Arabidopsis thaliana: one gene and its partner. The protein of the gene in region 1 interacts with the protein of each later gene in a pairwise test. Each region holds a gene or a part of one and is shown on either strand. Other genes may lie near its edges. The genes, in order: AT1G78310 and WRKY8.

What was found.
Region 2: the proteins of AT1G78310 (region 1) and WRKY8 interact in a two-hybrid assay, tested with the Arabidopsis thaliana proteins (one study listed by BioGRID).

What each region holds. Positions count from the first base shown.
Region 1 is NC_003070.9:29,463,335-29,467,269, forward strand, and holds AT1G78310 (VQ motif-containing protein), read right to left. Parts: upstream 1,916-3,935; 5' UTR 1,605-1,915; coding exon 669-1,604; 3' UTR 214-668; downstream 1-213. UniProt on the Arabidopsis thaliana protein: Functions as a negative regulator of salt stress response.
Region 2 is NC_003076.8:18,802,127-18,806,061, reverse strand, and holds the start of WRKY8 (WRKY DNA-binding protein 8), read left to right. Parts: upstream 1-2,005; 5' UTR 2,006-2,160; coding exon 2,161-2,627; intron 2,628-3,419; coding exon 3,420-3,560; intron 3,561-3,935. UniProt on the Arabidopsis thaliana protein: Transcription factor. Interacts specifically with the W box (5'-TTGAC[CT]-3'), a frequently occurring stress-responsive cis-acting element. Functions as a positive regulator of salt stress response.

The DNA of each region.
Region 1 (3,935 bases):
CTTGTCTCTTATCTTGTTGCGTAGATTGATTGTTTATCAATTTTTAATTTTAAAAGCGGACTAGTTTATTGGACTGCGTAAAGCCAATTACTTTACCTGGTCTGAAATCAATCATCAATTTGATTATATAAAAATAAAAATACATTTCAAAAGAACTATTTAAGCAATAGACACTCGTTAGTCATTTGACACTTTACAGGTTTAAATTAATGATCTCGTCAGAGTTTGAAGTTTCAACTTAAAATGAAAGCATCAGAGCATAAAATTCAACCAAAGGAACAGTGAAGTGTTTGGTATAGCTAATCAACCAATCAAAAATTTAATACCCCATCGAATAGACGATGAAGAAAAAACTCTTGTATGCAATCTGATTTACAAAGAGATGAAATCATAATGGCAAACTTATAAAAATTGAATAGAGTTGCAAAAGTGTATTCCTTTCTTTTTCCTAGTCTTCTTTGTTTCTAACATGAACAAACCATGAAAACAAAAGAAAGTAAAAAAAAAAACGGATTTAAGTAATCTTTGAGTTAATTAACAAAAAAAAAAACAAATGATCCCACCACTCTCCACTAATGATGTACAAAAAGAACAAAGGGAATTTTGTCGCGACGGTCAAAACGACGACGTTTTCTCACTTTGACCGACAAGGGTTTCCGATTTTCTGATCAATGACCTTTGTATTTAGGGCTAGGAAGCGGCACCGTCGTCGGAGATACAGGGAACCCTAATTGACCTGACGATGGCGATAAAAGTATGCTCGGTGAGAGTAATCCGTACGGAGATTTAGGCGAACTTGAACATCCAAACAGTGGAGGCGCCGGAATCGATGTCGGCACCGTCTGCGAAACAGCAGAGGAAGGAGGAGGAGGATGTGGTGGTGGAAAACTGTTATGCTGCGATGGTGGAGCGTTTTCCTGTTGTTGGTACCAACGAGGTGAGACCAAAGGAGCTAACGGAGATAATCCAGAGAACTCTTTCCGATTCGAATCGATTGCGAACATCGAGTTCTGGAGATACCGCATGTACGAAGAGACCGGTGATTCCGCCGCCGCGTGAACCGGTGGTAACGGCGGGAGAGGAGAAAGCGGCGCCGTTGGTCGAAGGTTAAATCCAACGCCAGTCCAGTTTTGATTCATGTGATGAGAACCTTGAGGGATAAGTGCGTCATTTAGCAAACCAGGAGGACGATTGATAACGTGAACCAAAGGAGGAGGACGGATCCTATGTAGACGCGAACTCTGTTGAGGTTTAGGGTGATGAATCGGTTGTTGCGGCGGAGCAGAGATCCGTTCATGTGCAGGTGAACCGGTTAGTTTCTGAACAACATCTCTGAAATCGTTCTTGTTGATATTGTAAACAGGAGGTTGATGTTGATGGAGATTCCCTTGATTGATTTGCAGCGGTGGAGGAGGTGGAAGATCAATTTCACGATTCGCGACGGAGACGGAGGAGGAAGAGTTCGTCGGTTTTGATATCTTATGAGACAGCTTATTGAGTTGTCTCAGGTAATGATCTCTGTTCGTTGTATTGTTACCGGTACTACTCGTTGCAGAGGCGGATACGGCGGAGGAATCGCCGGAGGAGTTACAGCTCTTATCCATATCGAAAGTTTTTCTTCTTCTTCTTCTTTTGTTTTTCTCTGCCAGATTTGGGTAGAGAGATAATGGAGAAGACGAAGATGATGAAAAAATGAAAATGGCTTTTTTTTTCTCTTTTTATTTTATTTTAAAGATATTTTATAAGTTAAAAACAATTTTGGTTTTATATAAACTATAGGCTATACGACTATAATAAGTAGCTTTAATTGGATTTTTCTAGAATAAGATGAAAAGGAAATAATTTGTCTGTATGTTTATCTATGGATTCTCTTCCATATAATGCTCTGATTAATTAAATAATTAATGCGTGTTTATATGTATGAACATGTACCTTTATATATTCTATTCCTGACCAATTTGTATATTGTTTAATCCCTTAATTGGTTACTGCATTTAGTTTCGTTGTAACTGTTTTTTAAGAAAGAAATTTAGATGTTGTGAGTTGTAATTTATGCTATACTTGTAGTTGTATATACATGGAAATATATCATCTCTTCTTTTTAAGATTTGTTTCTTTATTTTTGTTTCTAACTAAAGCAAATGGAAAAAAAAACTGAAGTTTTGAGAGGAGAATATATTGAGATTCTGATAGTGTTTATTGTTCATAATGATTTTAATTATATAAAAAAAAACAGAATTAGTAAAATGTATTTTCATGATTTCATCTATGGGAAATTGGGAATGATGATACAAATATTAAAAATTCTGATAAATAGCTCGCTAAAACAAAACCATGCTTCACAAATGATATTGTTCGTATAAACTTTTTTGTCAGAATGACTTAATTTTCAGTTTATCTAGTAAATCATGCATTTAAGTATATGGTGTGTCAATTCAAACCAAAATTGCTAAATCAAGCCAATAATATAGATTACAAAAATCTGAAAATTTCTGTTATCTCATGAAAAACAACTACCACATTAAAAAAATTCTGTTTAATGCTATACAAAATTACAAATAATAAGCTCAACAATGAAATAATATATAAAACAATACAAATAAGTTGGGTTAACGGGTCGGGTTATTCAACGCCCATTTTGGTCAAAAGCCCCAAAAGTATTACCGAAAACGACATTCGTACAGTCTTTTAAACTAATGGGTAGTTATCCTGTACTTCGTACTCCACCGAAATCTCCGATTCAAGTCAGCAAACGACTTATCCAACGGCTGTGAGATTAGCACGAGACAGACAGCTATCACATGGACTTTCGACCCTTTTTTTTTGTTTCCTTCAAAATGGAGTATTAGTTACACTGTTAATGTCTGATTTGTAGAAGTGATTAATCATGTAGTAATTGAGATGAATCTGGTCTCTATATCTGATTAGCATGATGTGAAGATGGTTGGCCAAATGTCCAATTTTTGAGAATAGGAATGTTTGAAATATTCTCTTTTGTTACAATAAAATAAAGGGAATAATGTTTGAAATATTCTTGCATTGGTAAAAGCCTTTAGTAATAAGCTTATTACACTGAAACGTATCATTCAATAAATTGGTTTAAACGTATTTTAATTGGGAACGTTATTTCGTAACAGTGAATTTTCTAAGTTTCTGTGACCAATACCTATTCGAGTAATTACTATGCGGAGTTGTTATATTTCCGAGGATTTGATACAACTCCATGCATATTCATCTTTTGCAGTTTTGTTTTATTAGAAATGTATAATTTATTATTCCATGAGTTTTACAAGATTCAATGATAGAAAGAATGATACATAGATTATAATATCTTTATATGTATCAATCACGTCGATCATTTTCTTTTATAAGTTTCGGTTACACCTTACTTTGGAATAAACTTGTCAGGTTTTGTAGAATTTATGGATTTAAACAAAAGATAAAGTTTGGTTGTTTCATTTTACCCAACAATTGACGGCAAAAAAGTCTTATATATGCTTACGATATTTATTCTAAAGGTAAAACGGGTAATAAATTATTTGATCCATACATTGCAATTTTACTATCCATTTGATTCTTATCAAAAACAATTTCTACAGTCCATTTGGTTTTGTTAAATCCGTTTTTCCTGCTAATGGATTCTAATTTATTGTTTGCGTCCTACAATGAAGAAATTTAACGTTTTGGTTGTTCTCTGTGATGAAAATTTATGCTTTTGAAAAAGAAAAAAAAAATGCTTCTGTGCATTATTTTTCAACCTGGATAGCTTGTACTCTGTAGAACCAAAAAAAAAAAAAGGTTATTGGATAAAGGTAACACATAATGTGGGGCTCATTAGTATAATTAAAGAATCATAGTACAAGTCCCCATGTAAACGTACTCTCTTGTTGCGTGGCTCTTGTTTTGTTTTGGTACTCTCTATTTGACATTTGTTT
Region 2 (3,935 bases), on another chromosome or scaffold:
CAAATTAAGCTGTGAACAAGTGTATCAATATACTATGGGCTGATTTTTTTTTTATTTTTTTTTAAGTTTCAAAAGCCAAATCTTTTCCAATTAAGCTTTAATTATCTTCCTAATAACAGCCCCAAAAATGTTCCTAAATGTGTTTTAAAGATGTTTGCGTTTTTGTTAAGCCAACAAAAATGTGACCTTATTATTTTTGAAATGTGTTTTTTAGAATTGACTAATTTTGTTCGGTGCATTGCCCAATTAAATTTGCATTGTATTCAAAACAACTAGCTAGTAGTTATTGAAGTTTTGGTCCTTTGAGCATCATGGCTGAGTTGCTTTAATTTCTTTGGGCCATCGAGAATCTTGAATCGTAGTTTTGTCTTGAAAACGTTTTTCATCATTATTCGCATTTTTCGGAAACATTAGAATTGCAATTTAAATCTTTATATCATTTGTTTTTTTGATAAAGGGACAAGGGTTAGCAAACTTTTTAATCAAGTATTCCTATCAGCTGCATGCATAATGCTTTTTTTCAGATCGCATGAAGCTGAGATTCGTAATTTGAACAAAAAAATCCAGACACATGAACAGTTTATAAGTATACATTATTATATAGGTATAAATCTATAAAAGGAAAATAGGTATTTGACTGTACCTATGTAAAGTCAATTTCTGTTCACTTCTCATTGTCATTTTCGGTTAGGAATCATGTCTCTCTCTCTCTGTTTTTTTCTTTTTCATTTCCTATATATTTTCGATCATGTTTCACATTTTTATCCCAAAATAAAATAATTTGTTTTGTTGACAAAAAAAAAATGTATTAAATATTAAAGCATTGATATTTGACCGTAGTTCATATATTTAGTTATTTCTATTACTCTAACGTTCCTTTAATGTTTGGGGAAAGTTCTAATGTGAAAACTGAAAAGAGATTCTGCAGCGTGAATCGTGATGACGTTGGTAAATCGTCAGTATTTCGATCATATTTCTCTTTTCAACAGATAAAATCTAAACCTATACATAATGCAAAATGATTCATATAATCTTTCTTTAACGTCCTTGCTATTAGCCAAGCTTATTACAATATGAATCACTTTAATAAAGGATTTAAGCACCTGATAAGAAATTTCATTTTGTATATTGTTTTTTATAAAAATTAAGATTTTCATGTAAATTGGTTGTAACTAAGGTCGAAATTACACGGGAATATAATGTAATGTATAACATTGTCGCATTTGCACCTTGACTTTGGTGGAATATTAAATTGATAGACTAACGTCTGATATTTATTAGGGTTTGAGAACACAAATCCAGTAGTCCACCACGTGCCAGGTAATGTGTCGGTTACGGTCAAATGCCGGTGCCAATAATTACACGTGTCATCCTAATAACCCCACAATTCTCTTTGACTTTTTGACTTGGCTCTTCCTTCTTCACATAAAGATGACCGGAGACTGACTATTTCCGGTTACCGGTTAACTATTAGTCAGCATCATCGCCTTCTTCTACAACAAAGCTTGTTCCCACCTTATTCCACAATCTAAAAAATGGTAAATAACTAAACATTTACTTTTAAGACCCAAACATCTTTAAAAAGGTAAAAAAATAACCATCTTTTCAGGTTTTACTTGGTCAGAGTCAGACTTAAAAGAAGTTTCTTTATGATGATAAAATGGCTTTTCCTTTTATGTTCATGTTCACATTAAACGTTTAAGAAACAAAATGACAAGTATATGTTTCCTCACTCGAGGCCACTTTTGTAACTCTCGATTTGGGAGGTAAAACGCATCTTGTCAACTCAACTTTATAAAAGTTATCATTATTTTAAAAATACAATAAAAGTCATTCAAACCCCAAAACTCTTTTTGAATCATTCACACTTCAATACTCTTTCATTCAACCTTAGATTTGTATATATCTAAGACAAAATAAAATATGCTAAAACGCCATTTACTATATTTATTTAGCAAGACATAAAATAATATATATTTTCAAAAGGCATAAATACGAGAAGACCCAAAAGTCTTAACACCAAATTTAGACCGACTAAAAAATTCATTAACGTAAAAAAGTTCTTGTTTCTTTCTTTCTTTTCTTCTTCTTCACGCTCCTCTCTTTGTCATTTTCTTTTTCTTTCTTTTTGGTTTAAGTTTTTTCTCTTTGTTCTTCGTCATGTCTCATGAAATCAAAGATCTTAACAACTATCACTACACTTCATCGTATAATCATTACAATATCAACAACCAAAATATGATTAATCTCCCTTACGTTTCTGGTCCATCTGCTTATAATGCAAACATGATCTCATCATCACAAGTAGGTTTTGATCTACCCTCGAAGAACTTGAGTCCTCAAGGAGCCTTCGAGTTGGGTTTCGAGCTTTCTCCATCTTCTTCTGACTTTTTTAATCCTTCCCTCGATCAAGAGAACGGTTTGTATAATGCTTATAATTATAATAGTAGTCAAAAGAGTCATGAAGTTGTCGGTGATGGTTGTGCAACCATTAAGAGTGAAGTTAGGGTTTCAGCATCTCCTTCTTCAAGTGAGGCCGATCATCATCCAGGAGAAGATTCCGGCAAGATCCGGAAGAAAAGAGAAGTTCGCGATGGAGGAGAAGATGATCAACGCTCTCAGAAAGTGTAAGTTTCATAAGTGTTATCCTAATTAAATTACTTAGTTAAGCAAGATAAATATATTTAGAATTCACATGAATCATGATCAGTTTGACTAATTTCTTTTGCTTTTATTTACCAAATAACAAAAAAAAAACTTCTCTGATCTTAATTACGAGAAAGAAAAAAAAACACATTTCTTGTTTTTCACTTTGAGGCCCATATCAAATATAATTATTTTCATTGCTTGAAAATTATTTTCATGAACTAACTAAGCAATACTGATTTCAATTTTTTTAGACTAACATAAAGTATATAGTTTGCATGCCATAAAATGACATCTTTAAGAACAACGTCGAGATTTAAATTTTGATAAAAGTATATATGTACTTGTGAATATTTAATTTTACATTAATATTTTTAGGTAGAATTTAAGTTTCATAATTGAAAGAATGACAACTCAAGTTATTTCGTTCATATTTTTTCTGTAATACAATTTAATATTTGAGATTCTATCCTGATTTTTGTTTTCAAAGATTATTTATTTCATTTGTTCGTACCTATAATTATTGATGTATAAATCTTATCCCTAAAGAAACCACTTAAACAAAAAGACGTGTCCCATTTATTTTTTGGCAGACTACACCTTAAGATTATTGTATTTCTTGTGTCATATGTCCTAACAATCATTTGATGCTTATCTTAGTTTAATATAGTTCAATGAATCAAAGTCAAATGTACGGTACGGTGCCATTAATTAAAGATGGTCCAACTTAGTTAAGTATTGATTTAATTGATCAGTAACATATGGTTCACCAGAGTTAAAACAAAGAAGAAAGAGGAGAAGAAAAAAGAGCCACGAGTCTCGTTCATGACTAAGACCGAAGTTGATCATCTCGAAGACGGCTATCGTTGGAGAAAGTATGGCCAAAAAGCAGTCAAAAACAGTCCTTATCCGAGGTAATTTATTCGGTCAATATATAATTTGTTAACTGATCGATTATTACATACGAAAATAGATTAAGTATGGCAAAATGTCGCAAAATGTAGTTTTGAGTTTAGCTTTTGGCTTTTTCAAATCTTAAGCATTATTTATCAATTTGAAAAACTAAAATAAACTGAACTTTTGTTTCTTTCACTTATCTCTCTCCAACCAAGGTCTAAGAATCCTTGAATATTGTATTTTAGTTTTGTTTATTGATGATTTGATCTTTTGTTTCAACTTAACTAATTCTGGATTTATATTTACATTTATATTTCAAACAATAATTTTCAAGTTACCAGAAATTTTAAAACAAGAACTTTTCTTATACCATCATGTGATTTGTTTTATTT